2 linked regions of the Lepisosteus oculatus genome follow. The protein of the gene in region 2 binds, or shares a complex with, the protein of the main gene of each other region. Links are inferred from orthologs where the notes say so. Each region holds a gene or a part of one and is shown on either strand. Other genes may lie near its edges.

Region 1 (15,524 bases), on a different chromosome or scaffold from region 2:
AAACTAGTTTAATGCCACACAATGTTTCTGCGAGCTCTGTATGGATCAGACAGCCATTTGACAATGGTAAATACCAAAAGGTTTAGACAGCCGTGCTTTAAATTACAAGAGGGGGACTGATCCAAGAATTTATAATCCTCAACAGCACAGAGAATTGACACAAAGCAGGAAACAAGTAAAAAATATGTGGAAGCACATTTAAAACTGTGAACAGAAGGTACTTCTATACACAAAGGTCTATGGAACAAATAGCCCAGCCTTGTTTTTGAAGGCGATGCCCTGGCTTCTTCCATGAAAGGTCTGGATGAGATCTTTGGATTAATTTGCTCGACAGGCACCTTGGCCTGTTCCCGTTTATAACCCGTCTGACTTTAAGAGCGCTGCCGGTATTAAAGAGGTATGAGGCAGACTGATGTAGGTCAGCATAGAAGGACACAAAGATACATCTGATGAGGCTTGGAATAAAACCGAGAAGATATCATACTGTCGGTTCACAAAAAAAGCGCTTTCAAGCGTTACAGAAATCAATCATTACATGATTTACTTTAAGACACCAACACCACACTGACTGTATAAAACCATAACCAAATGTTTTGGACCATTATATCAGTTTCAAAGAACCACTAATTAACGTGCTGAACCTCTATCAGATCTTTCAGAATTGATCATTTGTTGAGTAAAAAAAGACTACCATATTACTGCACATTCTTAAAACATTTATGCTACACAAAACATTCAGCTTACTAGAGTGAGCCATCAATTATGTCAACACTCAGAGAGAAATGCTACATACTGCACCCCAGCCTTGATGTCGGCACAGAAATCAATAAATCATTACAGCTAAAGAGTACAGGGGTCAGGGAATTAAAAAACTAAACTGCTTGCAGTCTGCATTGATTCAACAGAGATGGATCAGAAATTTCCTCCAATGCCAATTTTTTTAAATTATTCTTTTATGTTTTAATGGGAACTGCATTGCTAGACGTTCTGCAGCTCTAGTTCTCAAACCACAACCCACTGTTTTTCTAAGAAAGGGAATTGAGAATTAACTGGTCATGTTCTTCTTTGTTCCAGTATTTAAGTCTGAACAGTGCTGGTAATCTGTTTACTTTGTTAAAAGAACAAAAAAGTGTGCTCAACTCTCATTATTTTAGGATTATTTTGTCACCTATCAACTTCCTCATTAGACCAAAAATGAGCCTGAAAAAGTGCTAAACATCCTCTGTTGCTAAAGTAGTCTCAAACATCAAGACAAGATGGTTTGTGGTGACCTTACATTTTAAAACATTAACCCAATCTTATGGCAGAGGAACAGGACATGTCAAATTTAATCTCGTGTAAACAAGATGCTAATCTTAATTCCAAACAAGGACCTGAAACACGGACAGGACAAAACATCCTGCTTTCCACATTTGCGAAAAGAACGAATTCATTTTTGAGGGTCTACTACCACCTAGTGGCTAACTTAGATAACTGCAGCGTTCACCTACAATCGTCATTGTACACAATGAAATTGTTTTGGATTGGCCTTCGGGCGAAATCTTGCCCGTCTCTAGACAGAAGCAGCAACATTTTTATCTATATCCCAGAGACGTTTAATGATAATGGTGATAACTTTTTACTGACTAAATGCCTTGAAAATCGCAAAACAATAATGAGCAAATGTAAACAACAAACATCACAGAGTGACCTCATGAATCCTACACCTCGAGCCAGCCGTTCTCATGTCCATCAGTAAAATGCGCTTGGACTGACTTCGGTACAATTCATATCTTGTACCGTATATCCGTGCTACCTTCGCCACACTGCTTGAAAACAGGACTCCCTGTGTACTCGGTACAGCCTGAACGTCTCAGATGCCCACTGGCTCCCACTGTCCCTACCACACTAAGGCATCCATCCCTCTGAATCGTTGCTCTGTTTTTCAGTCCCTCTTTATTACACTGCCAGGGGTCCAGCCAGTGATCAGACCAGCACGGGATCTGGGATGACAGGATGTGTCCCATGAGGTGTGAACTCCTGCAAACGGGCAGGTCCTGCACCCCTAACTTCGAGCCAGCAGGGACTGAAGGCCTTCCCTCCAGGGGAATATTTACCCTTAAATGCTTCCGATATAAAAAATCCATGCAATACTGCATCTCTTCCACTGTGCTATATTCCATTCCAGGTTGTAACCTCTCAGCAGCCTCTTTTTTCTCAAGCTGTTTAGTGCTTACTGTCATTTGAACAAAAATATTTGTTTTAAAACTTGGGCAAGGTCCAGCAGAGGGCTGCCTCCCACACCAAGCACTGCACAGCGCCTTTAGGACTCACTCAAAAAGGATCATTTTAAAATAAAATTTTGTTAATGGCCACAACATAGGTGCTGGCCAGCCTAAGTACAGTATCATTTAAACTTGCAGTTGTAGTGAAAGGTGGTCAAGTGTAATCTAAATGAACATCTCAGTAACATCCATGATTCCAGTTCCACATTTCCTGTGCGGACATGCGGAGTGTGAATGGGATGTTATTCTGCACAATCACAGGTGTGTAAACTGTGACCCCAACAGCCTCATCATTCCCGAGTTTCCTAAGACAGATGGCCAGAGGAGCACTATGGTATTTTATACAGATTCCATGAAACACGCATCACAATACCAAACAAACACTGTTCAATCTTTAAAAAAAAATCCTTTATTTGAGCAACTTTCACAATTCTTCTGAACACATCCATCACGTGAAGCGTTTAAGGAACAAAAGTGCAATAACTGACAGGAAGCCTAAATTCAAAAGGGGGATAAAAGACCGAAAAAATAACTGCTCTCTCTCCCAGGTGCAGGAGTACAGTCTGTTGTGTGTTGCGTTACATCAGGAGAGAGGGGACACATTCCTGGCTTTGTCGCGGAAGCATGGAAGTGCGAGGGCGGCGGCAGGACCCCCCCCAGCGGCTCGTGCGCCGTCGCCGTGCGCCGCACACTGTCCTTGGCATCGCTCGACCACTCACTGCCATGTGGCAGAAAGACGCAGAGGGCAGGAACCAAATCCACTTATGCAAACATTTTGCAGACTCCACAACCTCACAGCTTTCAACAGTCGCTGGTATCTCAACTCCTATTACTCTGCAGAACAATGTCACTCCTTGTCGCCAACGATTAACGTTCTTCTCTGCAATCCGCAAGAGGGGACAGAGGGCACACAGAGCTGTGGAACGACTGTAAGAACTAGAGAAGAGTTCATTTCGGTGTGTAGCAAGTTAAATACGGAAAGACCAGATTATGAACCTGAAGCACATAGAAATTTCCTTCATTTTCCGATTGGGTACAAGAATTCCATAGTTCACCACTCTAACACTAAAAAATGAGTCTGTACTCTCTAAGAATTTAACAAAGCTCATAATTCTGTTATGGGATGAAACCTTAAAGACAGTAAGAGCCTCAGCTTAGCTTCAGAACAAACCAGACCTTTCTGTGAGCACTGTATTACCGCAAAATGCAATAAAAACTAAGAATTAAACAGATAGCACTGAAAAGGATCTTCTCTTAAATATGGTATATAAAATTCACTATTTACCATTACCAGTATTAGAGAAGATGCTGTGGAAATGTCACAGAACCTGCGCTCTGCACATGACAGCACAAGGAGGAAGCTCAGCTCAGGTTTGTCACATAGTCCCTCTGTCCACAAGCTGGAACCTGCAGTAAATGTAACACCAGACGGGGTTTGTAGTCCAGACTCCTCTCATCCCCCTCTACCTGGAGATTATCAAGCCATTCCTCCAGATAGTGGAAGAATATCTGATCCCCGACACCACTGACCGCTCGTGTCAGCTCACCTGGGAGAGCCCTCCTGACACACCTGCTCTGAGCCGCTTTGGGCAGCCATGATGGTCAACAGACACCCAGACAGTCAAAAGCACCAATGCTTAGTATTAAAACAACCAGGATTCCCTGAGCTGCAGCACACAACTGGCTGACCAAATGTTGATTTTAAATGATAAAAAATAAACCACTTAAGAATGAAATGACTTCAAACCCCAGACCAACAGATTTTTGACAGTGTGCCCAGTCGAAGAGGACCCGTGACCCGAACCGCTGATATAGTCAGCCTAAATCTAAAAAAAAAAAAAACGCTTAGTCATGGTTAGAAGATGGACACATTCTGTTCTCCAGTTGGCGGATGTAGCTTTCATTTTCCTGTACTGCCTGAATCCGTGCGCATCAAAACCCAGCGCACCAGAAGTGATGTCATAGGGCCGCGGCAGTCAAGTCAAAGCCTGTCGATGCCCGAAAGCCTCTTTACTGTGACAGAGCCTGCTGCTCTCTGGCTTCCGAACGACGACGCGCGCCTCGCTGTCTTACCCACAACCAGTCCGCACTCGGGGCAGATCATGTCTCCGGCCCGGTAGTCCTCCACCAGCATGGCATCGGGGTGGTTGGGGCACTGGACCTTGGGAAGGGCATCTCCACTGCGGAGAAGCAACCACATGTCAGACCAACAGAGAACCCGCTGGAACACGCCGTTACCACATGTAGCAGCACCGCCACAGCCAGAACATTTCAACACGCAGTGGTCTAGCAGGTCTTCAACAGGGAACACTTCTGTCCCTGCCCACTAACGAAGAGCGACAGGGTAGCATTGCCTTGAGACGGAGGTTATGACAGGAAATTCCAGGGAAACTTCCAGGTAGCAAACGGACCTCAGTGCTCGGCCAGGTGTACCTGCGCAGGATTGACCGCCGACTTCCCAGTTCGGTCAGAGGCGACGGTGCTGGAGTTCAGCGCAAGTCTGATAGAGGCCCAACTGTACAGCACCAACTTGTAAATGAGGCCGAAATTATAAACGCTTTTGAAAAACTTCAAGATGCTGTGCCAGAAACGAAACGTAAGTAGCTTAATTTTTGAAGTTTTGTTGTGAAAACCATTCTATTGAAGTTCAAGAAGGTGCACGAGCTGCACGAAAAACTTGGACACAGGGTTTCTATAAAGAAACTTTTAAAATGATTCCTGACGCATGCTGCCAGTATACAAAGTCTTTTAGCTTATTAACAGCTGTACAACTATCTAGAATTATTCTTATCGATGTAAAATGTGTTTCTGATTAAGTGCAAAATCTCATTCCTAACAATTTGACAGTGATGCAACTAATGTGTCTGGCTCTGCCATCGTGGACTGACTACGAGCTTCATTACTTAGCTGATAAAACAATTACCCTAGTTTCCCTGCAAAATACTCCTAGAACAAAAACTACACAGCATGGCTTTCAAAGTACACTGTGTCCTACTGCAGATCAGAAAGCCAGATATGACCAGAGAATTGTTTAGCAGCAAACCTTTGGAAGAACTTCAGAGCCGATTATATTGTCCGTGTTGTTTTTTGTAAACATGCTGGCTAACCCAGATGATAGTTACAGGCTTTGTAACAGCGGGAGTCCTATCAAAGGACGACTAGTGTAACAATGACACACAAACAGGTGAGAATAAGGTCTATGAAATCGACAAGTAGTGGAACAAACTGTTCCAAACCTCCATGCTATTTAAACCAAGCGCAGGGCGTACAGTTCCAAGACAATTCGTCCCATATTTTCACTTCTGCACATCCATCCATGTTTTAACCACTTTATCCAAGACAGGCTGGCAGGGCAGCCGAAGGCTATCCCAGCAAGCAACAGGCACAAGGCCAGATACACCCTAGACGAGACGCCAGTTTTACTCAAAAGCCAATTAACCTACCAGCATGGCTTTGGACTGTGGGAGGAAATCCACATGAACACGGGGAGAACATACAGACTCCACACAGACAGCAGCCCGGGGCCCCAGCACCGCTGGCCACTGCGCCTCCGTGGCTTTTACTTCTGAGGTTTCCAAAACCCACACTGCTGCGTAGCGCCGTGCATCGTGAATAAGAACGGAATGGAAAGAGCTCACGTTCCGTGTTTGAACCGAAGCCTCCCTCTCGTGAATAAGCTCAAGCTAGAAATATGCTCTTTCCCGAAACTATAAAACACGTCTGATACTAGAGAACACCTGCCGTCAAAGCAGGTCAGAAGTGAAACACAGGGGCACCGAGAGCGCTGGCGGGGGGGTGTCTGTACAGCGGCGGTGTGCTGGGGGGGGGTGAGTGGGGCCCTGTCGGTACATCAGCTCCGGTTTCGATTCTGTCATCGCTCTCCGCTCCCCCAACTCGCACCCCCGCCGGTCATCTCACCGCACTGACAGCCGGACAGCCTGCCCGAGAGTGAAATCAACGCGCATCCCGGGCAGCCGCGGTGCGCACCACGCAGGCAAGCCAGACAATAGGCGAGCCGACGCGCACGGAGGGCAAGGCAGAGATTAAGCCAACACGCCTCAATCCCGCTCGCCACGCAGTTTCGACCAAGCACCCCCGTGTGCGCGCCCACGCACACGCCGGGTCCCACGGGCAGGTTTGTTTCAGACACAAAGAGGGGATCAAGCGGCCCCGGCGAGTCTGCTGACTGTTCACGGCGCCCCCAACACGCCTCCGGCTCACCCCGAAACGCAGAAAAAACACCCAGTACCGCCGGCCCCCCGTTAATGGCACCCCTTCCGAGCTTGTTTTCGATACTTTTATCTCCCCCCCCGCCCCTGTCTTGTTTACCGCACAAGACCTTAGAAACAACAGAAACGTATGATTAAAAAATACCAACCGGCTAGTAGACGCCATATTGCCTTCAGTCGAGCTCACCAACAGCGACTGCGGACACGCACTGCGCCCCACCTCTATTTATAGCTTCGCTCGTCACGTGCCCGAGAGCGTACGGGCAGCCGAGAGGCCCAAACTTCATACACGTCCTTAATCACTCCCTTTGTCGTGCAAATTTCCAAATAAAAAAAAACATCATAATTGAAGTTTCAATACCACTTCCATTTGCATGTAATACAAATCTGAGACTTTAAACTCCAAATGCACGTCATGAATCCTGCGCCATTTTACCACTTTGACTTTTACGGAATGACAGGCGGTAGGCATACAATGAAGGTTTTTCATTTCGTACGTGAATAAAAATCTTTATTTTTTCATTTTTTACCGCATTTTGTCCAAAGTACATTAACTACTTTAATTTATTTGACGCAGACAATACGATCAAGTACGCTGCTTTGACTTTCGAGTGACTTTCTAAAAGGCAATAGAAAGATAAAAATAACGAATGGAACGATTAAAATAATTCGCAGACACAGCTAAAAAAAAAACAAACTTTGACAATAAAAACTTCATAACGAGCAGAAATTATTTTTCACTTGCATAGATTTAGTCAGGGTAGAGAAGGTTTTAAGAAAAAAGATTTCAAATATCAAAATACTCCGAAGGTCCAGGCGGAGGTCTGTTCCTGCGCCTCGAGCCTTCTCAGAGCTCAACACGTTTCAGCTCCGTCGGCACACAGACTCAAAGACACGGCAGGAGCGACACATTTCAAACCCCCTCGCTGCCCAAACCGTATCTACGGTCCTTCTCTTCCTGAATGCAGAGGCGGAGCGGTGGCTCTGTGGCTCAGGATCTGCGCCTGTGGCTGGAAGGTTGCCGGTTCGTATCCTGCGGCCAGCAGAGAAATCCTACTCTGTTGGGCCCCTGAGCGAGGCCCTTCACCCCAGCTGCTCCAGGGGCGCCGTATAAATGGCTGACCCCCAGCTTCTCTCCCTGTCCATCTGTCTGTGTCTCATGTGAAAAGAAATTCCTGATGCAAGAAATTGTATATGGCTAATAAAGTGGTCTTATCCAACTCCAACAAGCTTTTCGTAAAATTTAATTTAATCAGTCTCTCATAATAAGATTGCTGTGATAATTGTGTAAATAACTCTGAACTGACGTTTCTTTTTATTTCCCATTTTTAGGAACAGGAAAGCATTTCAACACATTCTTAGTTTCCGACAGATAAGACCTGTATATTAAATGTCCTTTAAACGGCATGAGGGTGAGATACGAGCTCCTCTCCAGGAGAAAACCACCTCACAGGACAGAGATAACTGCAGGGACCTTGAGGAGAAGACAGGGGAAATGCCGAACGCAGGATAATAAAAGACTTTAAGTAGCACTTGCAGGAAAAAATGCTTTAATGGTATAATGGAAAAGGCCACTGCATCACACAGAAATACTCAAACCATCACGGTAATAAACTTGGTGATGCAAAACAGCAATACTGAAATGTTTCAATTAGCTCAAATTCAACGCATCATCAAATTCAAAACGTAACATTCCCTGCAAGATAGCTAACACGGCGCCGGGCCAGGGCCAGGGCCAGGTCTTCACTATCAGACAGGCGCCGCTCTGTTCCAGTTCTTAAGAATCTCCTCTGCTGCATCTAACGTGTCGTCTCGCTGCAAAATAAGGGAAAACAAAAAGTCAGCGCAATGCTCAAACTCTACAAAACTCGCCAGCGGGATCAGTATCCATTCATTTCAAGCTGGCCTAAACGGATAACTGGAATTCAGGTGATCAGCTGTACTGTGTCAGTCATATTCAATACAACTGGCCTGGGCCTGAAGTCCTGACAAGCCATGAGCAGGGCCACCATTCTGGTGTCCCCCAATAAGAAGAAATACGGCCATCATGAAGGTCACTCAGCTTTGATTTGCCGTTTTACACACGGCACGTTTATTGTGCTTAAACTGCCTGCACACAGCAGCCTTTACCATTGCTACCATTTGCCTTCAGACAAAAACAAGTTCCTGTCTTGGCATTTGCCTTTAACGTTTTTTCAAACCTTTTTTAAACAGAAGCCTGTTTAAATTTAAGTTCATCCTACAAGAGAGGTATGACCGTGAGAAAGCAAGGCCTTGTCTCGTCTTGCTCGGCCACCCTCAGGGAAACTCCCACTGCCCACAGGCCAGTCTCAGCCCGGCCACAGGAGACCACGCCAGGCAGCCCATCGCCTGCAGGACAGGCGTGCTGCCAGCAGGGGGAGACTTGCTCGGGACACCCAGGGAAAGATGCCTTCATAAAGGCAGAAAAGCAGCAGGCTACCTTGATGAAACAGAATCGGATGTATTTTTCAAACTGCTTCTTAGACTCTTCTCCACAGAAGGCAGTCATTGGAATAGCTGCGAGTTTCTGGAAGAGAAAAGAAAAAAAAGTCCAGAAGGGCCCCAGGTTTCTGTGACTCCAATAACATCCTAATTGCCTGCTCATGCGGTAGGGTCTGCCTCATCTGATTTGTTTTGGGTATGGGCACTCACTGCCGCTGTGGAAAACTCCCACAAAGCACACACTCAGCACTCCCCAAGCACAGCAGGAGGAAAGAGCTGTACCTTTTCCTTGATCATCCACTTCACAAACTTGTAGTCGTACGGCTCGTCGTCTCCTGCGTGAGACAGGTCCACGTCTGCGCAGACAGAAAACATTGTCACGCTCGGACACAGGCTCTGCAGTGCTCAGAATCCACCAGACGGCTCACGGACAAGAAGAAGTCATGCAGGCCATTTCTCTCTAGTGTATCACGTTTAAGGCGAACGGTCATTGTGCAGAGCACATTCCTCACACCAATTTCTTTACACTTCCATACTCTTGGACTACTTTTCTGCACACTTCTACCCTCCCACGCTGTGAGCAGGAATGCTGGACAGGCAAGGGAAGTCAGGAACTAGAGCCCTGGTGGTGCTGTGATGTGCTCTCCATGCTCGATACAGATTAGCCGTCTGTCCCAGCCCTCGGACCACAAGTACAGTTTTTAACTCTGGGAAAAAATCACTATGCTACTTATTAAAATTAAAACAAAACCCTTCATCACTACACTACACTGACAACAGAACACAAGTTGCTGTGCATTACTGTTCCTTCAATGTGTAGAATAAGGAGTCCTGTTTGATGTGAACAAAGTCAGCGTTGTGACACAGTCCTGTCAGTACGCAGTGTCTTGAACTGCGACAGCTCTTGTCTTTGCTGGACAGAAGAGCTCATTGTCTGTTTTCTTCACACTCATTGCCTTCTGCCGAGATCAGTCTCCCAGCACCACTGGGCTCTTCAGCTCTCGTACCAGGGCCCTGCCTCCCCTCTGTGAGCAAACGCAGTCAGAACAGGGCCCAAACACTGTCATAGCTTTTGTAAGAAGAACAGATTAAAGGCGGCAGTGTGGCCCGTTGTGTTTGCTGCTACTCGTAACCCGTTGGTCTGAGGTTCTCAGCCAGCTGTCCTGTGTCAGAACTGTTGGAATCAGTTTAAATGGGCAAGGGGTTCCAGTTCCAAGCACCCACCACCCTTTGTGTAGAGACGGGTCTCCTGATCTGTCCCCTAAATGCACATAATTTCCACTTGTGTCATAAGATTTTTGATTCACTGCTGATTAAATGTTTTACCCATCACATGTCTAATGTACTATGAAGCTGAGGGGGAAATATGCTAGCAGTGTATGTAATCCAATTCCCTCTTTTCACTCACTAAAAATGACATACAAATATCTGGGAAACGTGTGTGTAAGGGGCTCACACAGACTGCGAGTGCAAGCTCTTTGCCCTAGAGGCTCTAGAGGTGAACTCACGGCTCACACCAGGGCCACAGTGACTCACTGGGACAGAGCTCATCCCAGCTCCTGTAGTGTCTACTGGTCTGGAGTGCTGGCGACTTCCCCCAGCACGGGACACTGGTCCATCACAGGGATGACACCCCAGCAGTACCGGTGCCCAGTTATACAGCTGGGAGGACGGGAGAAACTGGGCTGAAGTATCTCACTGAAGGAACAGCAGTGTCTGCAGCAGGGACTCGAACCCACAACCTGTCTGTGATGAGCCCAAAGCCCCCCCCCCCATGACGACGTGGAAACAGTGGCCCTCACTGATCTGCGGCTATGTGAGCCTGGGACAGTTTTCCAGAAGGGCAGGACACGTTCCCGAAAACCCCGGTGGAACAGCCGACTCACCCAGCGCAGACACGTCCGCGAGCATGAAGTAGCCGCCTTCGGGAACGACGGGTCTCATGCCAGCGGATTCCAGGATCCCGGCCATCCGATCCCTCTTGCCCTCCAGCTCGCGGGCGAGAGACGAGAAGTAGCAGTCGGGGTCACCCATGCGCTTGAAGTCCAGTAGCAGGCCCTGAGCCACGGCCTCCTGCGGGGCAGACATGGGGCCTTCTCAGTCGCAAGAGCACAAAAATCAGTGCAAGGCCAGATCACTTTCCCCTTCATCCTCCCTCAACTGTCCGACGGGAGCACTGTGGTCATAGGCGGAAACACTGAGCAGAAGTACAATAAAACCGAGAGGAGGAGACGCTTCCCTACACAGAGGGTGGTGGGAGTGTGGAACAAGCTGTCTGGCCAGGTTATTGAAGCTGACTCGACGCAATGGCTGCACGGGATCGATTCCAGTAACTACTAACTGCAATACCACATTGGGCCAGGTGGGCTGAATAGCTCCCCTGATTTATAAACAGTTTTTCTCATGATGCCACTAGGGGAAGAACGACTGAGGGACACGACCTGATTTTCTACAACTCGCTTGGTGTGATGTCTTCAGCGGCTCATCATGCTGTCGGACCAGAACAGAACAGGAGGATCACACAGACCAGTCCTCAGCAGGACGGTTTACATTTCACCTGGCACTTCAGAAGACAGGGTCAGATCCGATCAAGGTAAGGCGACAAATTTTAAACTTGCAAATCACAGATTTATTTTGCAAATGAAGCCTTTGAATTCTGTTCATTAAAAATACCTTCAGTATTAAAACTAAACATTCAGTTTCAAATGTGAAATATAAGATAATGTCACAAATGCAAAAAAACAGGTTTTACCTGTAAGGGAGTGGGGCAGGTATACAGGGTGTTCTGCATGACTGTCTGAAGATGTTTGATTAGATGTTCTGGACCAATTGACCAGCCAAGCTGAAAACAAAAAAAAAGAAAGTCATTTGATCACTCTGAACCTAAACTAAAAGTATATATAAAGTGTATATTTCTAGAAGAGCTGTCTGACAATAGGCAGGTGTCTATCCGTGCACATGGTGGGGTAAATGCGGTCATATTCCAGGCTGACCGCAGATCTCTCACCACAGCTGCCTTGAGTCCAGACACACAGCTCACACACTCTGTCTCTTGGACTACTGATGTGGGTCCTGTCTTTATTCTTGCGTAGTGAACATGCACACAACTTGTACACCTCCACACGTTTCTGCCGAACTCAGCTGCTCCCACTAGTGCACGATCAGACCTGGAGCAGAGGGAGCCATCTTCCCAGAACAAACGCACTTCTAGAGCCAGTCAGGCCACGGGCAGCTGGGTCACTCTACCTTCCATCCAGTCACGCTGAAGGTCTTCCCCGCACTGCCGATGGTGATGGTTCTGTCCCACATGCCAGGAAGTGCAGCTTTAAAGAAACAACTCCAGGTCAAACTCCAAAACAGTACAAACAGTTTAAATTTGAAGCCAGTCGTAGACTTCCTGATCACATTTTAAAGCCATTAACATTTACTGACGGGAGAGTGCCTTACTGCTTCTTGAACACATCTGGTTAGGAACCGCACAAAAATAAGTATATATTTTATTTTAAAAGAACAACCGATAATGGAAATTTTGGGTTTCAAATATTTGGAATCCATCAGAAATTTAACACAGGACTCTTAAAACTCAAAATATTTTTTTCCAGAATGTTATTTGGAGTGGGAGACTGAGTAAAGGAGACATTTCTGCTTCTTTGTAAAAGCTGTATGTTTTCCCCGATTCCTGCAGAGCTCAGTAAAAACAATTTTGTAGAGGATATGGACAAAATCTTATTATCTACAAATAAAAACTATAAAGCTGAGCACTGGGTCACCAGTAAAAGTAAAAGACATCTGCACAGAATGAGAAAGATATTTCTGCAACGACTCCGATTATGAGCCCACAAGCTGTGCTTGTACTGCAGTCCCGAACGCATTACCGATCTTAATGTGCTCCTGCCCCTTGTACACCAGCCACTCGTACACTTCGTCGCTGAAGCACAGCACATCGTGCTGGACACACAGGTGGGCAATCATCTGCAGCTCCTGCTTGCTGAAGACCTGCGAACACAACCGGGGGAGCGCTCAGAGTCTCGGTCAGGGGTCCCCAGTCCGGACTCCGGAGAGCCCCTGTCCAGTTAATCTCGCAGGTCACCCTAAATCGCCTGTTCTTAAGAGATTAGGAACCCATGTTTAAGCAACTGATCAACTGGTCCCGAAGCTGAAGAGAGCGGAAGGATACTTCAATCTTTTCTTCCAAATGATCTTTAAAGTACTTCAGCTGATCCTAGATCAACTGCCCCAGGCCTTTCGAGATTGAGGATACCTGCAGGACGGGGGGCTGTCCAGGACCAGGGCCAGTCTGCGAGAGTGGAAAGGGGCAGAGCTCTCACCTTTCCCAAGGGGTTGTGAGGTGTGTTGACGATGATGGCTTTGGTCTTCGAGCTGAATTTGCTCGCGAGCTCTTCTGGGTCGAGCACCCAGTCTGCACTGGTGATAGCAGAGCCTTCAGACATTTTCTGGTGTTTAAAAACAGCACAGCAATGTGGAAAGAATCATCAGTTTTGTATTTTAAGGTCCTTTACATCCAACAAAAGGCATGAGCTACTATAAGCACATGAACTGCATACAAGCTATCAGGAGGTACCTTATCTAGTACTGAGCCCTAACAGCTAGACCCAAGTACTAAAGGTGTTCTGCACAGATACAATAACTCATAATCTACTGCACATCTGACTCGTTCAAATTCAAAGCATGTCGGACTCCACTGTACGTGAGGCGAGCTCCCTAAGTGGAAACAGGGTTCAAGAGCATTACTGACAATTTTAAAATAAACCACAAACGTTACACACATCCCTTGGCACACAGTGTGCAGATCCCCAGACAGATTAGACGGATTTGCTTCTTTCTACATGAACATACAATGATCAGACTCACAAGTCTTAGCGGTATCAGGATGGGCTTTGCTCCGGCCATTCGGACCATGGGCACGTAACAGTCAAAGAAGGGCTCCATGATGATCACCTGCAACAGTGAGTTTTAAAACCCAGTTCTGAGAGAACCCGGGCTTTGTGGGACGTCAGGGGAGTCGTCAGGAGCGGCGACAGTCCGGCCAGGGGGACACTCACCTCGTCTCCTTCCTCCACCAGCGCCTGCATGGTGCTGAACAGAGACCCGTAGGCCCCCACCGTCACCAGGACCTCCTTCAGTGGGTCCACCTGGCGGCCGCACACCGCGCCGTACACCTGCGACAGCGCCTTCACTAAAGAGGGGTGCCCCTGCCGGGAGAACAAGGGGGCGAGCTGAGCACCGCCTCTCAGCGGGTACAGCGCCAACAAACGGCCTCCGCCAGCCTCCTGCCGGCCCTCAAGCTGCGGGAGACGCACCGGCGCTCGACCCAGCATGAAGCCTGCAGGCAGACCTGCATCTCACGGGCTGCAGCAGGAGAGCCGTCGGCTCCAGGAGCACGGCCACGCTGCCCCACGCGTTCCCCACCACGGCCCACTCCAGACGTTTCACTGAACACAACAGCCACATGTCTACTGCATCTGTGGACACGTACAGCCAAACACTGGATCATGCACAAGTCTGTGAAAGTGATCCACGACTTTGGACAAACAAACAAACTTGCCTACTAATTAAGAAGAGTGCGTGTCTTCCGGAGGGACGAGAGGCGGCAATCTTCCCCAGCCCCCCCACCCCAGCGTGCCCCGACGCCCCAGCGCCCTTACAAAGCCCCGGGTGTACTGGTTGAGCCTGTCCACGGACACCGCCCTGGCCAGCGCCTCCGTGACGTAGGGGGGAGGGGGGAGATCTGGGAAGCCCTGCCCCAGGTTGACGATGGAGGGGTCAGCAGCCACAGCGGAAAAGGTCACCCTGCGGACAGACAGACAGACGGACAGACAGACACACGTCACTCGGGTCTAGGGCGCTGTGCTCCACACAACCGAGGCCGAGCCCCGAGATCGAATCCCCAGCTCAGGCGCCCTTTAACCCTGCAGCCCTGTGAGATCGCTTCCTGCGCCCTGGGTTGTGATGCGCATGGATTCAGGCTCACTGCAGCACAGGAGCATGAAAGCTCCACCCGCCACTAAGACAGAACAAGAATAGTGGCGAGACAATGGCATTCTTCGAAGCCGTAGTGTTCAGCAGATCTTTTCTCTCTTTGGTAGCTTTTCAAAACTTTGCTCCGGTGAAATAAGTATCAAAGAAATCCTCAGACACAACTGACTGGTTGATGTACAGAACTGACACCTTTCAGCTCTCAGGGGGATCTCCACTGTACTTACCATATGTTTTTATCGAGGCCTTGGATTCTTTTGGTATTTTTGTGCCTGAACGAAGTCATCTAAAGTTTAAGGGAGAAAAGTAGAATCAGAAATGAGGTTTTCTCAATCATTGACTCAAAACATAAAATACATTTTTTTTGTACATTACAGACACATTTAAACCTCTTTGATGTAAAGAAAGTCAAAAGACAAGGCATGAAAGTATGGCAGACACATGAACACATGGTATGTCCTCTGGCTCCATTTAAGTCTTGACATTGCTTGAAGGAGGTACTGTAACTAAACAAGAATGTTGTCTCCTATTTTTGAACAGTGTAAGACAAAGACTCACTTGAGAAGTAGAC
Region 2 (15,480 bases):
TACTGCCCAGTGGTGTCTACGTGCTCTGCATTAGGGGCCTCTTCCACTGAGACACGTCTTGCTTACTTGTCCCACTTTCATCCACTGCAGAATATCTTGAGGGGTGACTCCCACATTATTGGGCATCTCCATGGCAGCTGGACAGTGTTTCCTGAGAGGGACAACCAGATCATCATAGACTGCACGGAGGAAGAAGGAGAAGGATAATTAAATATTGCACACAAGAAAAGAATTAAGTCTTTTCTGTCACATGCTTGCTGACTGAAAGGATGCGTCCCCCTATCAAAATAGCATATCAATACACTTTTTTTAAATTACCCCCAGAAAATAATTTAAAACTGTAGCTGGTATCTATACTCCATTTCCCCAAATTAGGTATACAGTGATATATGAGAGAACAGTACCACAGTTTTCTCATAAATCCCCTAGTTGTGTACAAATTCTAGTCTCATTCAGGGGTGTTTTTACAAAAGTCATCAATAAGAAGACACCACTTCCACTTGTCGCAGACAAACACGATTTCATTATTCCAAGATGTACACGAACTTCATGCTTTCGGTAGACAAGGCATGTGCTGCCACCCCTTCTGACTCCAGCTCCTGCCCGGGACCTCCTCACCTCTCTTGCCCCGTTTGAGGACCCTTCTCGCCGCCAGGTGAAGCGGCGTGTCGCCTTTCCGGTCCTGAAGCAGGGGGTCCGCGCCCTTCTTCAGGAGCAGCCTGAGCACCGCGTCGTCGCCCAGCGAGCAGGCCAGGTGCAGCGGGGTCCGGCCCTTACTGCCCTGGCTGAAGCTGAGGTCTGTGTCCGGGTGTTTGCGCAGGTAGGATTTCAACTTCAGCAGGCTTCCTTCCTCCACGTATCGCAGCAGCCGCTTCTGCCTCCGAGATGCCATGGATATACTCGCTGCACCCCCGGGGTTACAGCAGCAGACAAAAACAAAGTCGTAGAAACAAAGTCTCCATATTAAATTCGAGTTACGCCTTTGAATACAATTAGTCTACAAGCAGACTGGTAGAAAAGAACTCTCCACTCCTCTTTGCAGATTGTATGTTTCGCTACAAATGTACCACGCACAAACAAAAGCCTATGAAAGCTGACAAGTGACACAGAAGAAGTTTACCATGGATTGTTCTAGATTTAACAAGTCTATACTAATTGCAGCCAAACGTTATGTTGCTAATCCTTTCAGGCGACCAAATCACAGATATTTCTGTACAAAAAGCTAATGTTGACTTGTACAGTAAATACAGTACAGTACCTGCTTGTAGTAAAATTACTTGCTTGAGCTTGTGAAGTCCAAACAGTATATCACTTCCAGATACTAGGTGGTCAAGACTCGTAAAAGTATCATTTATGAACCTTGCATTATGAAGTCATAGTTTACAGCTGTCATAACGTTTTTAAAATTAAGTATCTTAGTTCGTTGTACTTTTAAAAATAGTCATTAATAATTATAAATTCAAGTATTAAGATTATCATTTAGGCTACCGATGCTGTCTGTATATTTTGTAAATAAAATGCCGACTAAACGCCCCTTCCACATCGGTCAGTTTACAATGATACACCACACTTCCGGCCACTGGTACGACAGAAATATATTTCCGAAAGAAATCTAAGAAATATGAGTTCCGGCTTGTTTGTTTTGACAGCAATCGTTTGACAGCAATGGTATTAACCCGATTCGCTTTCTAGACTGCAAAAGCATGAGTATAATCTGAACGTGACAACTACAATTTTTTATGGTACCTAACTGCAGTAAATATTTTCAAAATAATGGAGAAACATGACCCACATTTTAAATGAAAACATGAAAACAAAAACACATTAAAGCACCCATTTACGTTATTTAAGGTCAAATTGTAGATTGGTGTAACGTAAATAACTGTCATTGTTTACTGTGCCCTATATATGATCTGATATACAGTAAACACATATATCTAGTTATATCTGCACTAAACTAAATTAAGTAATAAAAGGTCATAAAAAGGTGTAGTGTTAGAAAAGGGGAATGTTTCTTCAGGTAATTATTAACTGTCTGACACTGAACTCCTTGACTTAAAAAAAAATCTTAGAAATACTGTTTACAAATGTTGATCTGTTAGGATTGGTTGTGGTGTAATCTACAGTAGGTCATTATTGCCTTTGGCATTAAAAAATACTTCTAATAACCCAAATATTAACTTTTAACATCGATATGTTGACATATAAACATCTACACAACAACACTGGTCTAGAAATGAACATACCTCTTCAATTTAATAAAAATGTAGAAGTCTAACAAATTGAGAGATGACATACAGTATTCTGTATAGAACAAAACAAGGATGGCAAAATGTTCGGTTTTTCAATTTAATACTGAACAAAATGTTATTATGAACAAAGTTTAATACCATAAGACAACTGTACTTGTATAACCAAATTCATGTTTAAGAAAATAATTTCTTTTTCATTAAGTTTACTCATCAAGCAGATCTGAAAAAAAAATCATTTAGTTGTTGGTTTCAAATTCAGTCTCTGGATATAGTTTAAAAGTCAAGAACTCTTTATGTAAATGAGAAAACAGAACAGAGAAAACATAGCCGGGACCCATTTCTTGACTAGTGACAGTAAATAAAAAGGAGATTATTTCCCTTCCCAGTTGTATTTTTTAATTTTCCGAGGTCCTGTGTAAACTGAAGGTTTGAAATCAAACCTAAATGAAATTTATTTGGTCCAGGCTTGTCTCAATTACTGTATATTCTCCTAAAGACAATTCCCGATGTCCTTAATCTTCCAGTATTTCCAGAGCAAGAGTGGTGATCATGTAGCTAGTTTTAACTTCTTCTTTTTTGGTTTCATCATCTGAGGCAATGAAATCTTGAAGGCAGTCCTAGAAAGAAACACACACATTAAATAAACAGGGGTACAATAATTCTCGTATTAAATTCACCAGGCTAACTTTAGATAGTACTTACTCGCAAGTTGTGCAGATGGGGCTGAAGGTGCAGAAAACTTCATGGAAGGAAATAAAAATCAGTAAACAAACGCAGTAACAACATACATAACCCTCTGCTACAGAATTAGATCTTAATTTGGCATTTGCTTCAAAATGACACATCATTTTACAAGACCACAAGTAGTTCTACACTCCTGGTGTCACATACTGGGCAACATCCATTTTCTAACTGCTCTGCCCAGAACAGGGTAGTGGGGGAGCCAGAGTCTATCCCAGCAAACACTGGGCACAAGGCAGGATACACCCTGGACAGGATGCCAGTCCATCCCAGGGCATACACGCACAAAGACACACAATACAGCAGGGCTAATTTTCACAGATGCCAATTAACCTACCTAAAGTATGCCCTTGGACTGTGGAAGGAAATCAGAGAGAAAATGCAAACTCCACGCAGAGAGCACCCCATAACTTGAACCCAGGGCCCTGGTGCTGCCAGCCTGCAATAAGTGCATCACCAAGCCCACTTAGCAACATTAAACTACTGAATTAAAGTGAAACAAGTTTCCAGAACATACTTGACAGGCAGACTGAGCACACGTATCCGATCTCAATGAGGTTCCGATGGCAGAAGCAAGCGGCTCTGTAGTCAACGTGTGCAGGAGGAGGGAGGACCAGCTGGGAGCGCTGATCGGCATCGGGCAGGAAGACCCACTGGAGACAACGGATCCATAACAGAGGGATTAACCCAGAGCAAAAGGAAGCATGCTAGTCGCACAGCACACCACACCAGGCGGCTGATGGCCCTCTTAAAAACTCACACACTGATCTCAACCACATGTGCTAACTTAACACCAGCCATGGCTTGGTTAACAAGCCCTTAAAAGATGTTGACTACTTTTGTATTTCTTTATAACAGTTCTATTATAGGGTTAGGATAATGTATGGAGGAGGCTGACTGGGCAGCAGTGTGAAACTCTGGTTAAAGCTCCGGACTCCTGCCATGGGTTCAAATTCCAGCTGGCAATAATGTTGCTGTATTCCTGATCAAAGTGCTTCACTCAGTTCATTGCAACCACCGCATCTGTATAAATAGGTACCAAAAAGTAACCTTGTGAATTAAATCACATCGCTAAAAGTCAGACTAATTAGCATCGTAACAATTAGTCAACACATTGGACTGTGGTCCCCTCCCACATACATTTTTCACAGCTGCTGTTAGATGTCTGCTACAGATTTCATGTTTCAGCATTCTTACCAGCAGATACTGTGCCAGAGCAATCTTCTGTGGTATTTTCAAATACAGCCCCCCTGTAATATCACACGCCTGCAGAAACAGCAAAGGTGCAAACAGCTCAGAATGATACCTGACTGGTATTGCAACAGAAGTATTCAGAAGGGTACAATATAATCAGAAAAATGTCAATCGTGCTAAGGCTCTATAAGCATACTAGCACAATGTTTCCCTCGCCCCTTTCTTTTTCTTTTCAGTGTTGACTAAAACTCTAACAGTTCTCTTGCTTCGGCCTCTAAATATAAATTAATCCTACTGACATACGGTCTCTACAAGACGTACTGGCATCGCTGGCAACAACTAAACATCTACCTGCTGCAGAAGTCCAGAGTCAGAATCCAGGACACATGCGTCTATAAGTATGCTCTGCAACAGAAACAGAAACTAAAAACCTGAATTTTTTCAACACATATTAACAACCACATAGCAGTGGGGGGGAAAAGCAAAGAGATCAAAACGAATCACAGAAAAAATATCTCAAGGATCTTCATTTTAGAAATTCTTACCTCATTCTTATCTCACTAATTAGTGCTGTAACACAAAAATTATTACAGAACAAAGCCTGCTGTAAGAAGAAGGTGTTCCATAAATTTAATTCCTAACAATTTGATATTTTACATGTTTCAATTAACATTGTGAAGGGAAAGCCAAGGGCAGAGACAAATTGTTTTGCATTCATACCTGCTTCTGTGCAGCAAAAATAACATTCATGAAGTTCATGTACTGTAATGCACAATCTTCTGCAGCCTTTATTACCTGGAGAACAACAAAAACCATTAATCCTGGGAATAAATTCCTGAAGATAACTATGCCTGAAAATGACTGCTCACCAGTATTCTTGATTTCATTTCTGGTCCAGCTGGAAAAGAAAACAGACCATATATCACAAAACATTCCATATTCCACATCTTTTTCAATTATTAACTGTCATCTATACTTGATCATCTGTTTCATTGATTTGTCCAGAAATATTCCTCTCTGCTGTAGTTCTGCTATATAACTGATCAGGGGTTACGTTTTCCAGATCATTCATTTACTTTTATGAAAGCCTCTGCCTTGAATAAAGCATATAAATAAATAAAGGGTAAACGAACCAACACAACAGAAAAGATGTCAGAAATTTATGAACTACCTATCCATACAGAAATCTTAATTTGAATTTCAAAATAAAGCAGTAAATATGTGATACACTAAAAAAGCTATGTTAACATTTCATGAAAGACTAGTTAATTGTGAAAGAAAGGACTGCATTACCTTCAAGTTCCTTTGAAAGCCTGTGGATATCTGTCCAGAAACTGTTATGAAAACTAACAGCCCGTTGGCCATCAGCTAAAAATCCAATTAGACATACAAACAAGAGATTTTTTGGAAGACAGCATTGCCTACAAATGAAAGAAAACTCCTACATACTGTATGTCACAAATGGCTGCTACAATCTGTATTTTTCAGTGTAGCCATGAGCCACCAGTTTTTAAGAGTACTGGTGCTACAACACTGAGATGAAGGATACAACAGAGTGCTTTTGCAAGTGATCCTGCCAGCAACGTTTCTGTCTGTTGGCCCCTCACATCAGCTGAAAAAACAGGATGGACAGTATGTTATGCAATCCCTTGCCAGATAACATGGGCTGCTTTGAAAGAGAGAGACTAACTTAAACATCAGAGTGACCTACTTCTCGCCATGAGATTTCTGATCTCTTCAGCAATGAGCTCATTGGCTACCGACAGGAGCTCATATTTGCCGTCTCCACTGCTTGATGCTGCCTCATCTCCTGTAAAATCACCAGCTTTCCAGTGCTTATTGGGGTAAAGGAAGTGACTGCAGAAACAAGGAGCACAACAGGAAATGCGTGATGCTCAGAGCAATGTTCAGCGCTGGCATGCTGCCCACTTTGTCCCTGCCATACTCTGACAGATCCCCAGGACACTTTAACACAAGCACGTACAAGATAACTGATAGTAAAAACAGTACATGTCTGTGCACAAAAACAGAGGTGCGTTTCCAAAAATGATCTAAAACAAGACTGCACTGGCTTTGGAAAGGGAAGTCTTCACCATCAGGGTGCTGTAACAGTTTGCTATAATTTTAAGTCGCCTTTCCAGTAAAGACGCTTGTCTTAGAGCAGGTGGAACTGTAGCATCCGGACGATGCAGGTTCGAGCCTGGGGCATGTCACTCACTCAAAGTAACCAGGATTCCTGAGGCAGAGATGCACAATTAGGAAAGCACCACTGTTGGGATTGGGCTTAATTAGCCAGGGCTCTCTTGGATCCTGGCAAAACTACGCCCCCTGCAAACTCCTGGTGCACTACGTGAACCCCTAAGTGCTGCTTGCACTGAAATGCCTGTATGGAGCTTTCTAGGTTGTGATATGCTAAAATGTAAATATCTCAAAGGTGGGTGGATTGTGGAAGTCTGCATGTATATCCTCATTTTCCTTTGTGTGTTGCTGCAGGGTTCTTAGTTGTGAGCTGACACGTGAAAATCCATAAGTGGCGATTCCAAAATGGGAAGGTATATCAAATAAATGGGAAAATTATTTAAAGTTCCATTATAATAAAAAATATATAGTGTTATCCAAACTCTGGTGAAATAGCAAAAGGCACAGATACATAAAACACACCAGAACAGATAAAATACTAATAAAGGTTTTTGAAACAGAATGGAAAATGGGCAAACGGAACTCAAATCCATCACCCTTGTTCATCGCAAATGATAATACATCTTTACCTCTCCTGACAATGGCTGGCAATAATGGCGAGTTTGTTGCTCCTGTTCATAACAAGGTGCGAGTTCCCCATCAGCATCACAGCATCCATGCACTTGGACAGGGTGAACTGTTTCACAGAGCAATGAAAGTAAACCAAGTGCTGTGAACTTCAACTCTTTTCACAAACTGCAAAAGTTCTTAGAATCCATATTTTCCAGACCTCCACAAATGCAAATACAGAAAAACAAAGGTGACAGATTGTAGGCAGTTTGCTTGCCAGTACGAGCGGCAGCTAAAAGCTAAAACTTTCAAACTGCCTTAAAACCACTTCTAGGTAAATGCTGCGGTTACCTATATATTCTAGCAAGAATACAGCACAAACCGTCTCGTTTACCTCGGGCTCTTTCTGCGACTGTTGGCCCCACCAGATGGGACTAACGTCCACCACGATGACGAGAAGACTGATTTCGTCCTCTGCAAACAGAAGAAAGGAATCACCCCCAATTCTCTGTGACACACAACAAGATTTTAACTTATCTTCTATCGAAAGAATGCCGTAATAACTCAGTTGCACACAAATAATAACGTAATTATGTTTTAGGTAATCGGTGTCCTGTACCAACTAAGGTTACATTTTACATTCTTAAATGAAGTGGATTGTTTCTGGCGTCAAACTTAATAAACAGCAGTGAAATATACTGTACTAATTCCCTCTCATGCCACTGTAACAACTTAAGTAAAATAAAACGAAAGACAAAAAGGCTTGTTTTTAAAGATGCACGAACTAAATATTCCTCGTATTGATCATACATAATAATAATAATCGAAATTAAGTTGAATGAACCCACCAGAAGCCATATCTGCATCACAAACGCAGAAAGATATTCCCCAAGTATCAGAAAGCCATCTTCCTGACAGTGTCGCAGCATGCGGACGTCATCAAACCTCGACTAGTCACTCTGAGCTTGCTCGGCTGCACGAGTGAAATTGAAATACTGATAAATCCAGTATTTTTTAGGAAAATCGATCATTCTTTCAAATGCGCATATTATCGGATTAATAAACAACGATATCCCCCAAAACAGTAAATAATTAAGAGATCTTCTATTTCATCAGCTATTGCACTGAAGGGGGAAAAGTATCCGGCTGTCAAATAATTTCCTTATGTAAAAGTTAATATAATTTGTTTCTAATTACAAAACGTCTGAACTAATTAATCTAGATCGCTTTTATTTTTATAACTTCGATTTTTAAATAAAACAGATTTTACTACGTGTTTGACTTTCGCCTTTTATTTTACTGACTGTCTGAAACAGCCATTCAAGTGGAAATATTCCTGCGTCTTACAGCTGTTGGCTCTTGCCTGGTTTGCACCAGCCACCCTCCGAGAAAGTTGCCTACTTCTGTCTTTCAGAAATGAATGAAAAAGGTATGTTGCCATGGTATATAAATTAGACCACGAATGACCTAACTTTTCATCCTACAGTCTTGACAATGCTAAAATGGTGAAATCGTTAATATATTTACTTTCTTTCTTGTAACGCTGCGTTTTTGGTCAAATGAAATTAAATTTAAGGCCTTTTTGTCTGGTATGACTTTTCTAATGGAGAGAAACGTCCTTTTGGTGGAATTGAACTAGTCTTGCTGAGCCAGTGTGTGGAAGGGTCTGACGAAAAACTGGTATATTTCCATAAAATAACTCCCGTTTATTCACTCCAGCGTGTTCGTTAGGAGGCGTCACAATTCCCCCAAATTGGTTTGATACATGCATGTTGTGATTATTTCCTTCTAAAACTCCATATACGTCCATAAAGTTTTAGAAATAAGCATTAGCACACCATATGTTCAATCTTAAAATTGGGTGAAATCTTACTACCGCTTGCTCGGATGAATTAGTAGTTCAACAAGCGGTGTTTTTACACTTCATTGTTAAGTAGTAACACTGTGGGTAAGAGATAATGTCTTATAACGTACTTATGTCTACTACAGTAGCTCTATGGTTGTGATTTAGTTTTACAATTGTATTAGATTGAGCATTTGCAGTGCCTGGCATTTGTAAAATACTGTACATAAAAGGAATTGGTTTCATTGTTGAGAGGTAACTTGAACAGAGATCTTTGTCATGTCAAAGACCCTTCTGTCTCCCTCAGAACTGGTGGAGTATTTCAGGAATCAGATGCGGCAGGATCCTGACATGGCGTCCGCTGTGGCCGCGATCCGCACTCTGCTGGAGTTCTTGAAAAGAGACAAAGGTAACCGATTCCCGGAAAAAGGGATTGTACTCGGACCCCGTCACGCCTGTTGGTACTACGTTCTTCAAACAGATCAGTCAGCTGAGAGCAGCTTTACATCCCACTGTCTTACATTGAGAGATCAGGGTACTTACTGGAACCATCTGAGTGAAGCAACTCACTCAAAGACTGCAGTAGCCCATTAGGAATTGGACCGCACAGTCCCTTTGGTGGGAAGTCCAGAGCCCTCACCACTACCCCATACAGCTGCCATAACCAAGCCCATCCTGACAGCATCACAGTCATCACCCATGTTATCAGTTCAAATAGGCATTGAAGTTACAAGTCTGGAATTCCAATCTTCATACAGATGGCTGTAACAATCTCACAAGTAAAGGTTTATTCCATGCTGAAAAGAGAAGAAAAAAAACACAATGTTTCGGCTATGGAGCCTTTTTCAGGTGTGTAGTAGTATTAACTAGATAGAGCTGATCCTTTAAACGTGATCGGGGATGGGTCAGTTCTCCCAGAAGTTCCTCTTCAGTTTCCCCTCTGCTGTGGTGCAGGTGAGACCATCCTGGGTCTGAGAGAGAACCTGACTCAGGCCATCGACAAACTGACCAGTGTGGACTCCTCGGTGGCCGTCTCGTCTGGGGGAGAACTGTTCCTGCGCTTCATCAGCCTCACCTCTCTGGAGCATCCGGTCAGTACTGCCTGTCCGTTTTGGCAGAAAAGTACAGAAAACGCCCACTGCGTAGCCGATCCGATCCATGGCAGGTTTTACTGTACACATTGCAGGCCCTTGTACAAGTTCACACATCTTTCTCAAAGTTCTCAGAGCTGACTGGCCTGAAATATCAATCAATATCTTGATTGGCCTACTGGCTCTTACAAGAACTTTCTGCATCTTAATAAGGGTGGGCTGTCCTGCTCTTGGAGGGCTAGTGTGTCTGTGGGGTTTCCTGAACACTTCAAAGTACCAGAAGCCGAAGTGCTGGAAGAAGCTATTTTTTCCCCACTAAGCCAATAAGGATCTGATTGAACTTGTTAAAAGCTGGGTTGGAGTGAAATCCTGCAGACATACAGGCCTCCCAAGACCAGGATAGTCCACCCTTGGTGTAAACCCTGAACTGAAGCTTTAAGGCAGTGACGTAAGTGTCTGTGACTTAGTTTACAACATAGCTCTGCTCTGCCATCCTACATACAGTGTGAAGCCTAGTTTACACTAAGGTAAGGTGACAAAAGGAGAAACTAAACAAATGTCCTCCAGCATCACGGGAGAGCAGTCTCCTTTCCATACCCAAGTGAACATATTCAGCATGCGAGAACTTGTGGGGAAATTGTGAATCCAAAAGGCTCAGATCTTGTAGATGTTTTTTCAAGTGCAGCTGGGGCCCAGGTGTTGAGAACATTTTGTTTCTCCCACCCTGTCCACAGGACTTATCACAATGCAAGAAAGTGATGATTGAAAGAGGAGAACTCTTCTTGGAGAAAATATCACTTTCGAGGAACAAAGTTGCAAAACTCTGTCACACATTCATCAAGGACGGAGCAGTGAGTACCTATGTTGAAGAGTAGTAAATAGCATGCTTCTCTTCAACAGTGTTGAAGTGATATCGACTGAACTTTGTGGAGGTAATTCTTCCTATAGGAAAGACTGATATGTGTTCTTTAGTTGTCATAAAGCAAGTGAGTCCAACCATAGTCCTGAAGAGCCCCAGTCCATTTAGTCTTGTATGTTACCCTAAATCAACTGTTGATGAATACTGGCAATACTAAGTTATTGATCAGCTAAGCCACAGTGACGCAGTGGTGAGTATTGTTGCCTTGCCAGTGGTGCTGTCTGCATGAGGTTTTATGTTCTCATGGGTTTCCCCCCAAGGTCCAAAGACATGCTGGTCAGCTAATTGGTTTCTGGGGGAAAAGGGACCTGGTGTGTTGCATACCTGATTAGAAGTGATTAGAAAATGGATGGATGGGAGGATCGATTAAGAAAGCCATATACTCAGTTAAGGGGCTTCAGGTTCTTATGGGCTGTGAATTTTTTTTTAAACAACCTTACTTTAATATATCATCAAGTAGATAACTTGATTGTTCCAGGTCTTGAGAACTAGACGATTTAGCTCTACTAATGGGGAACTGGGACTCTCCAGGAGCAGGGTTGCTGATTTCTGCACAAAAGCCAGCAGGCATCTTACTGATTTCAGGGCATCAGTTAGCCATAGAGCAGAGAGTATAGCAGACCGCATTCAGCACTGCTGCATTGCTCTGCTGGGCATGAGCGGGAGGGAATCCTGTGTCCTTTCACCTCCTGGTTTTTCCCGCTGTAGAAAATCCTGACCCACTCTTCCTCGAGGGTGGTGCTGCGCGTGCTGGAGAAAGCCGCAGCGGAGAAGAAGCGCTTCACCGTCTACGTGACTGAATCTCAGCCCGACACCGCAGGGCAAGTACATGGCAGCATGGACCCAATAAAAAAGAAATACCAACAAGCGCAGCACTCTATCTGATCTACAATGGGAACTACCCGTCGGAGAGTATCTGGATGATCTATTTTAGTGAACTCTTATTCTTTTGCAGGCAAAATATGGCAGAAAAGCTAAGAAAACTCAATGTTCCGGTCACAGTGATCCTGGATGCTGCTGTGGGGTAGGTACCTGCAGGAATCTCCAAGCTGGAATTTCAAAACCTCCAATAAACTGGTTCCACAGCACAGCCATGTTCACGCGCAGGTATAACCAACACACTGCAAAACCAGCTTTGTGAACGTAGTAATATTTAATGTCACTTGGGCTAAGGGCTGCAGGGCGTAGATCTGGAGGTCAGGTATGTATCCTGCTCTAGACTGCTTATTTGAGTGTGCCAAGTGCCTGTGTACAAAGCACTCAGGAGAATCAGGTGACATAGGGGCTTTTGTACGACAGAAGGGTGCTGTTTATGGATCCAACCGCAGGACAGGAGATTCTTGTTTGTCATTGCAGGTACGTCATGGAGAAGGTGGACCTGGTGATCGTGGGAGCTGAAGGTGTAGTGGAGAGTGGAGGCATCATCAACAAGGTGAGTGGTGTCGCAGACGCACCAGGTCATGTCACAGGATTCATTAACACAGGATACTTTTATTTCTCATTTTAAAACATACTGATTATTTGGTGCTGTGGCATGAAACCGTTTAGTGTTGGGAGGCAAATATTTTGAGGTTTAAATGTATTTTAAATAATAACAATTAAGAAAATTTAAAGACAAGAGCTGTTCAGCACTCTATACTGTGCTAAACATACAGTATGTAATCTGTAAACCATATAATTTACAAACTATCAGAAGTTACATATTGTATAGGAATCTTATTCTAATTCTTTTCTATTGTTGTTCTAATTGTTTTGCAGATTGGCACATACCAAATGGCAGTGTGCTCCAAAGCACATAACAAGCCTTTTTATGTGGTGGCAGAAAGCTTCAAGTTTGTCAGACTTTACCCACTGAACCAGCAAGATGTTCCTGACAGATTTAAGGTAAAGGGCAAGTTCAGAAATAATAATCTCGGTGTCAGCAAAATCAATCTACTTTTTCTGAAGATACTTTTCAGTAGATTGTTCAACTGACTTGTCTTCGCTTCTGATTTCACATAGACGTGCTTTGAAATCATAGTCACAAGTAGAGAGAAAAAAAATATCACAAATTAAGTTATGGCCATCGAGAATGTGAGAGCACTGCTGCTGTTGCACACCGTAGTCATACCAGTGACTCGTTTCACCCAGTCTTTAATTCCTTCATCTCATTGACAACAGTGCTCAGCCAGGCTAAGATCATTCAGACTGAATTATCCACTTACATTCAGATGTTCTGGTGGCATGGTAGCACAGTGGTGACCATTACTGCTTCACAGAGCTTGTGTCCTGGGTTTAATTCCAGGTCCTGGGATGCTATGCATGTGGAGTTCGTATGTTCTGTTTGTATGTTCCCTTGGGTTTCCCATGGGTGTTCTGATTTCCTTTCACAGTTCAAAGGCATACGGGTAGGTTAATTGGCTTTGGGAGAATTGGCCCTGATGTGAGCATGTGTGTGTCTGTGTCTGTGTGTGACAGGTGTCCCAGCCAGGGTGTATCCTACCTTGCACCTGTTGCTTGCCAAGTTAGGCTCCAGCTGCATTACAACTTTCAATTGGATGAAGCAGTTAGAAAATGGATTCATGGATATACAGATATATAGATATTATGTGGCTGCTGCAATAAATGTTTTGTCTTTCACAGTACAAAGCCGATACGTTGAAGTTGAGCACGAATCTAGCAGAAGAGCATCCTATGATTGACTACACACCTCCCTCCCTCATCACTCTCCTGTTCACAGATCTGGGGGTGCTCACCCCTTCAGCTGTTAGTGATGAACTCATCAAGCTATATTTGTAACAGCACTGAAGATGCCAGTAAATTATATATCTAATAAAGCTGTTTAAAGAAATGTCAGTGGAACTATTTTGTGCTTGTTAAAAAAAAATCAGTACTTAGATGTTGAGAAACATAAACCTGACGAATATTTAATCTTCACTTAATGGGACTGAATATTCTATCTTTTGTTTAATTCAGAATTAAAAATAAAATGTTTAGATACTCATAGGTTAGCTCTGGACTAACTACATTTGAAAAACAAATTGCAGATTTGAAGAAACATTTCACTAACATGGAGATTTCCTGGGTACCTGATCATACAGTACCAGAACCAGAATTGCCATGCCTGAGAATAAAAAGTAAGGTTACAAACAACAATAATAACCCCAACATTTACATTGTGCTTTTCTGGACACTCCACACAAAACACTTTACAGATAATGGGGACTCCCCTCCACCACCACCAATGTGTAACCCACACCTGGATGATGAGACAGCAGCCAAAGTACTCCAGTACTCTCACCACACACCAGCTCTCAGTGGAGACGAGAACAGGGTGATGAAGCCAATTCAGATATGGGTATTTTTAAAAGGACATGACTGGTAAAGGTCAGGGGGAAATTTGGCTAGGACAAATTTGGATTTTGTTTGGATTGGCCCTTGGATTTCTAATGACCACAGAAGAGTCAGGACCTCAGTTCTACGCCTCATCTGAAGGATGGCACCTTTCTTTGCAGTTTAATGTCCCCCCTCACTATAAAAGGGGCATTAGGATCCACACATACCACAGGGAGAACACACCTACTGGTCACACTAACATCTCTTCCAGCAGCAGCCTTAGCTTTCCCAGGAGGTCTCACGTCCAAGTGCTGGCCAGGCTCACACCTGCTGAGCTTCAGTGGGCTGCCAGTAATGAGTTGCAGGATGATATACTGTAGTTGCTGGCAAACAAGTGGTTCATTCAGCCCACCTACAACAGTTGCTAATTGATCCCAGGGTAGCCATTTCCTCAAAGTGTCAGCTTCAACAATATGGTTATGGTTAACAATAAGCCCTGTGCAGGAGGTAGCAGGGAAATAAACACTGTTGTATGCAGTCAAGCAATTTTACATCAATTTAAAAAAGGCATCAATGAATGAACAGACTCTCCTTAAGAAGCCAGTATAACAACACAGGATCTGAGCTTCAGCTGTTTAAGTTGCTTCCAGGTGACAAACCGAAAAGGTTCTGAAGAGCATGTGAAATATTTCTCTGAAGTCTCTTCTACTTTACCGTGACTGCAACTTGGTCTTACTTTGATTAAAAAGCTGCATCCCTGAGAAGATTTTGAAAACTCGTCACTCAGCTCAGGGAAAAAGGCAGTTCTTCTGTCATTTGTTTTTCAATTTTACAATTTTTTTTTTGCAACTAGGATTCTAACCATTGTTCACTCTTAGTCTGTCTCTGAATCTTCCTCTTGTTGCTTGCCTGCCGTTTTGGACTGTGAAACACGTGCAGCTGTCACTTGCTTCTCAAAGTCCTCCTCGCTGATCTTGCCCTTCTTGAGCTTCTTCAGCAGTCTGGTGTCGCTGAGCAGCTCATCCATGTCTTCGTCTTCAATATCTGAGCCCTGATACCAGAAAGAATCATCATTAGACTGCTCGTTACAGTTCTGACAGCTGCTGTAAAAAAGTCTGAGATCAATTTTGTAATGCATTCCTGAAGGATATCACCAGGTCAGGTAATTGCTCGCTTATACAATGTTATCGTAACCTCAGCAAGTTTAAAAATCAGCAGAAACTGAGAAACTCTTTAAAACCACATTTAACCAGAAGTGACGGCAATTTCAGTGATAAGTCAAGTCAATTATAATGACTCTTGATAAGTGTTGTTCCACTCTTTTCCTTTTGCTAACTAAACAAGTTAAGGGATTTCCAAATAGCTCAGCCAGAGAAG

Evidence for each region.
Region 1: gtf2h3 (region 2) and gtf2b share a complex: the UniProt entries of both Homo sapiens proteins name them as parts of the TFIID-containing RNA polymerase II pre-initiation complex. The link is inferred for Lepisosteus oculatus from reciprocal best matches to the Homo sapiens genes GTF2H3 and GTF2B.

Annotation. Positions count from the first base shown.
Region 1 is NC_090704.1:1,104,898-1,120,421, forward strand, and holds the start of gtf2b (transcription initiation factor IIB), read right to left. Parts: upstream 6,750-15,524; 5' UTR 6,660-6,749; coding exon 6,643-6,659; intron 4,445-6,642; coding exon 4,338-4,444; intron 1-4,337. Other genes in the region: kynurenine--oxoglutarate transaminase 3, read right to left, coding at 8,243-8,308, 8,955-9,041, 9,239-9,312, 10,843-11,029, 11,709-11,798, 12,203-12,279, 12,832-12,952, 13,285-13,410 and 5 more. UniProt on the Homo sapiens protein: General transcription factor that plays a role in transcription initiation by RNA polymerase II (Pol II). Involved in the pre-initiation complex (PIC) formation and Pol II recruitment at promoter DNA.
Region 2 is NC_090717.1:7,652,642-7,668,121, reverse strand, and holds gtf2h3 (general transcription factor IIH subunit 3), read right to left. Parts: upstream 7,863-15,480; 5' UTR 7,794-7,862; coding exon 7,784-7,793; intron 7,410-7,783; coding exon 7,330-7,409; intron 7,063-7,329; coding exon 6,956-7,062; intron 6,045-6,955; coding exon 5,899-6,044; intron 5,800-5,898; coding exon 5,737-5,799; intron 5,511-5,736; coding exon 5,481-5,510; intron 5,086-5,480; coding exon 5,057-5,085; intron 4,983-5,056; coding exon 4,908-4,982; intron 4,593-4,907; coding exon 4,539-4,592; intron 4,260-4,538; coding exon 4,191-4,259; intron 3,647-4,190; coding exon 3,511-3,646; intron 2,992-3,510; coding exon 2,955-2,991; intron 2,870-2,954; coding exon 2,800-2,869; 3' UTR 1,656-2,799; downstream 1-1,655. Other genes in the region: nfkbil1 (NF-kappa-B inhibitor-like protein 1), read right to left, coding at 67-179, 619-892; eif2b1 (translation initiation factor eIF2B subunit alpha), read left to right, coding at 8,352-8,364, 9,086-9,187, 9,733-9,869, 10,604-10,720, 11,497-11,609, 11,744-11,812, 12,145-12,220, 12,547-12,672 and 1 more; ATP-dependent RNA helicase DDX55, read right to left, coding at 14,978-15,154. UniProt on the Homo sapiens protein: Component of the general transcription and DNA repair factor IIH (TFIIH) core complex, which is involved in general and transcription-coupled nucleotide excision repair (NER) of damaged DNA and, when complexed to CAK, in RNA transcription by RNA polymerase II.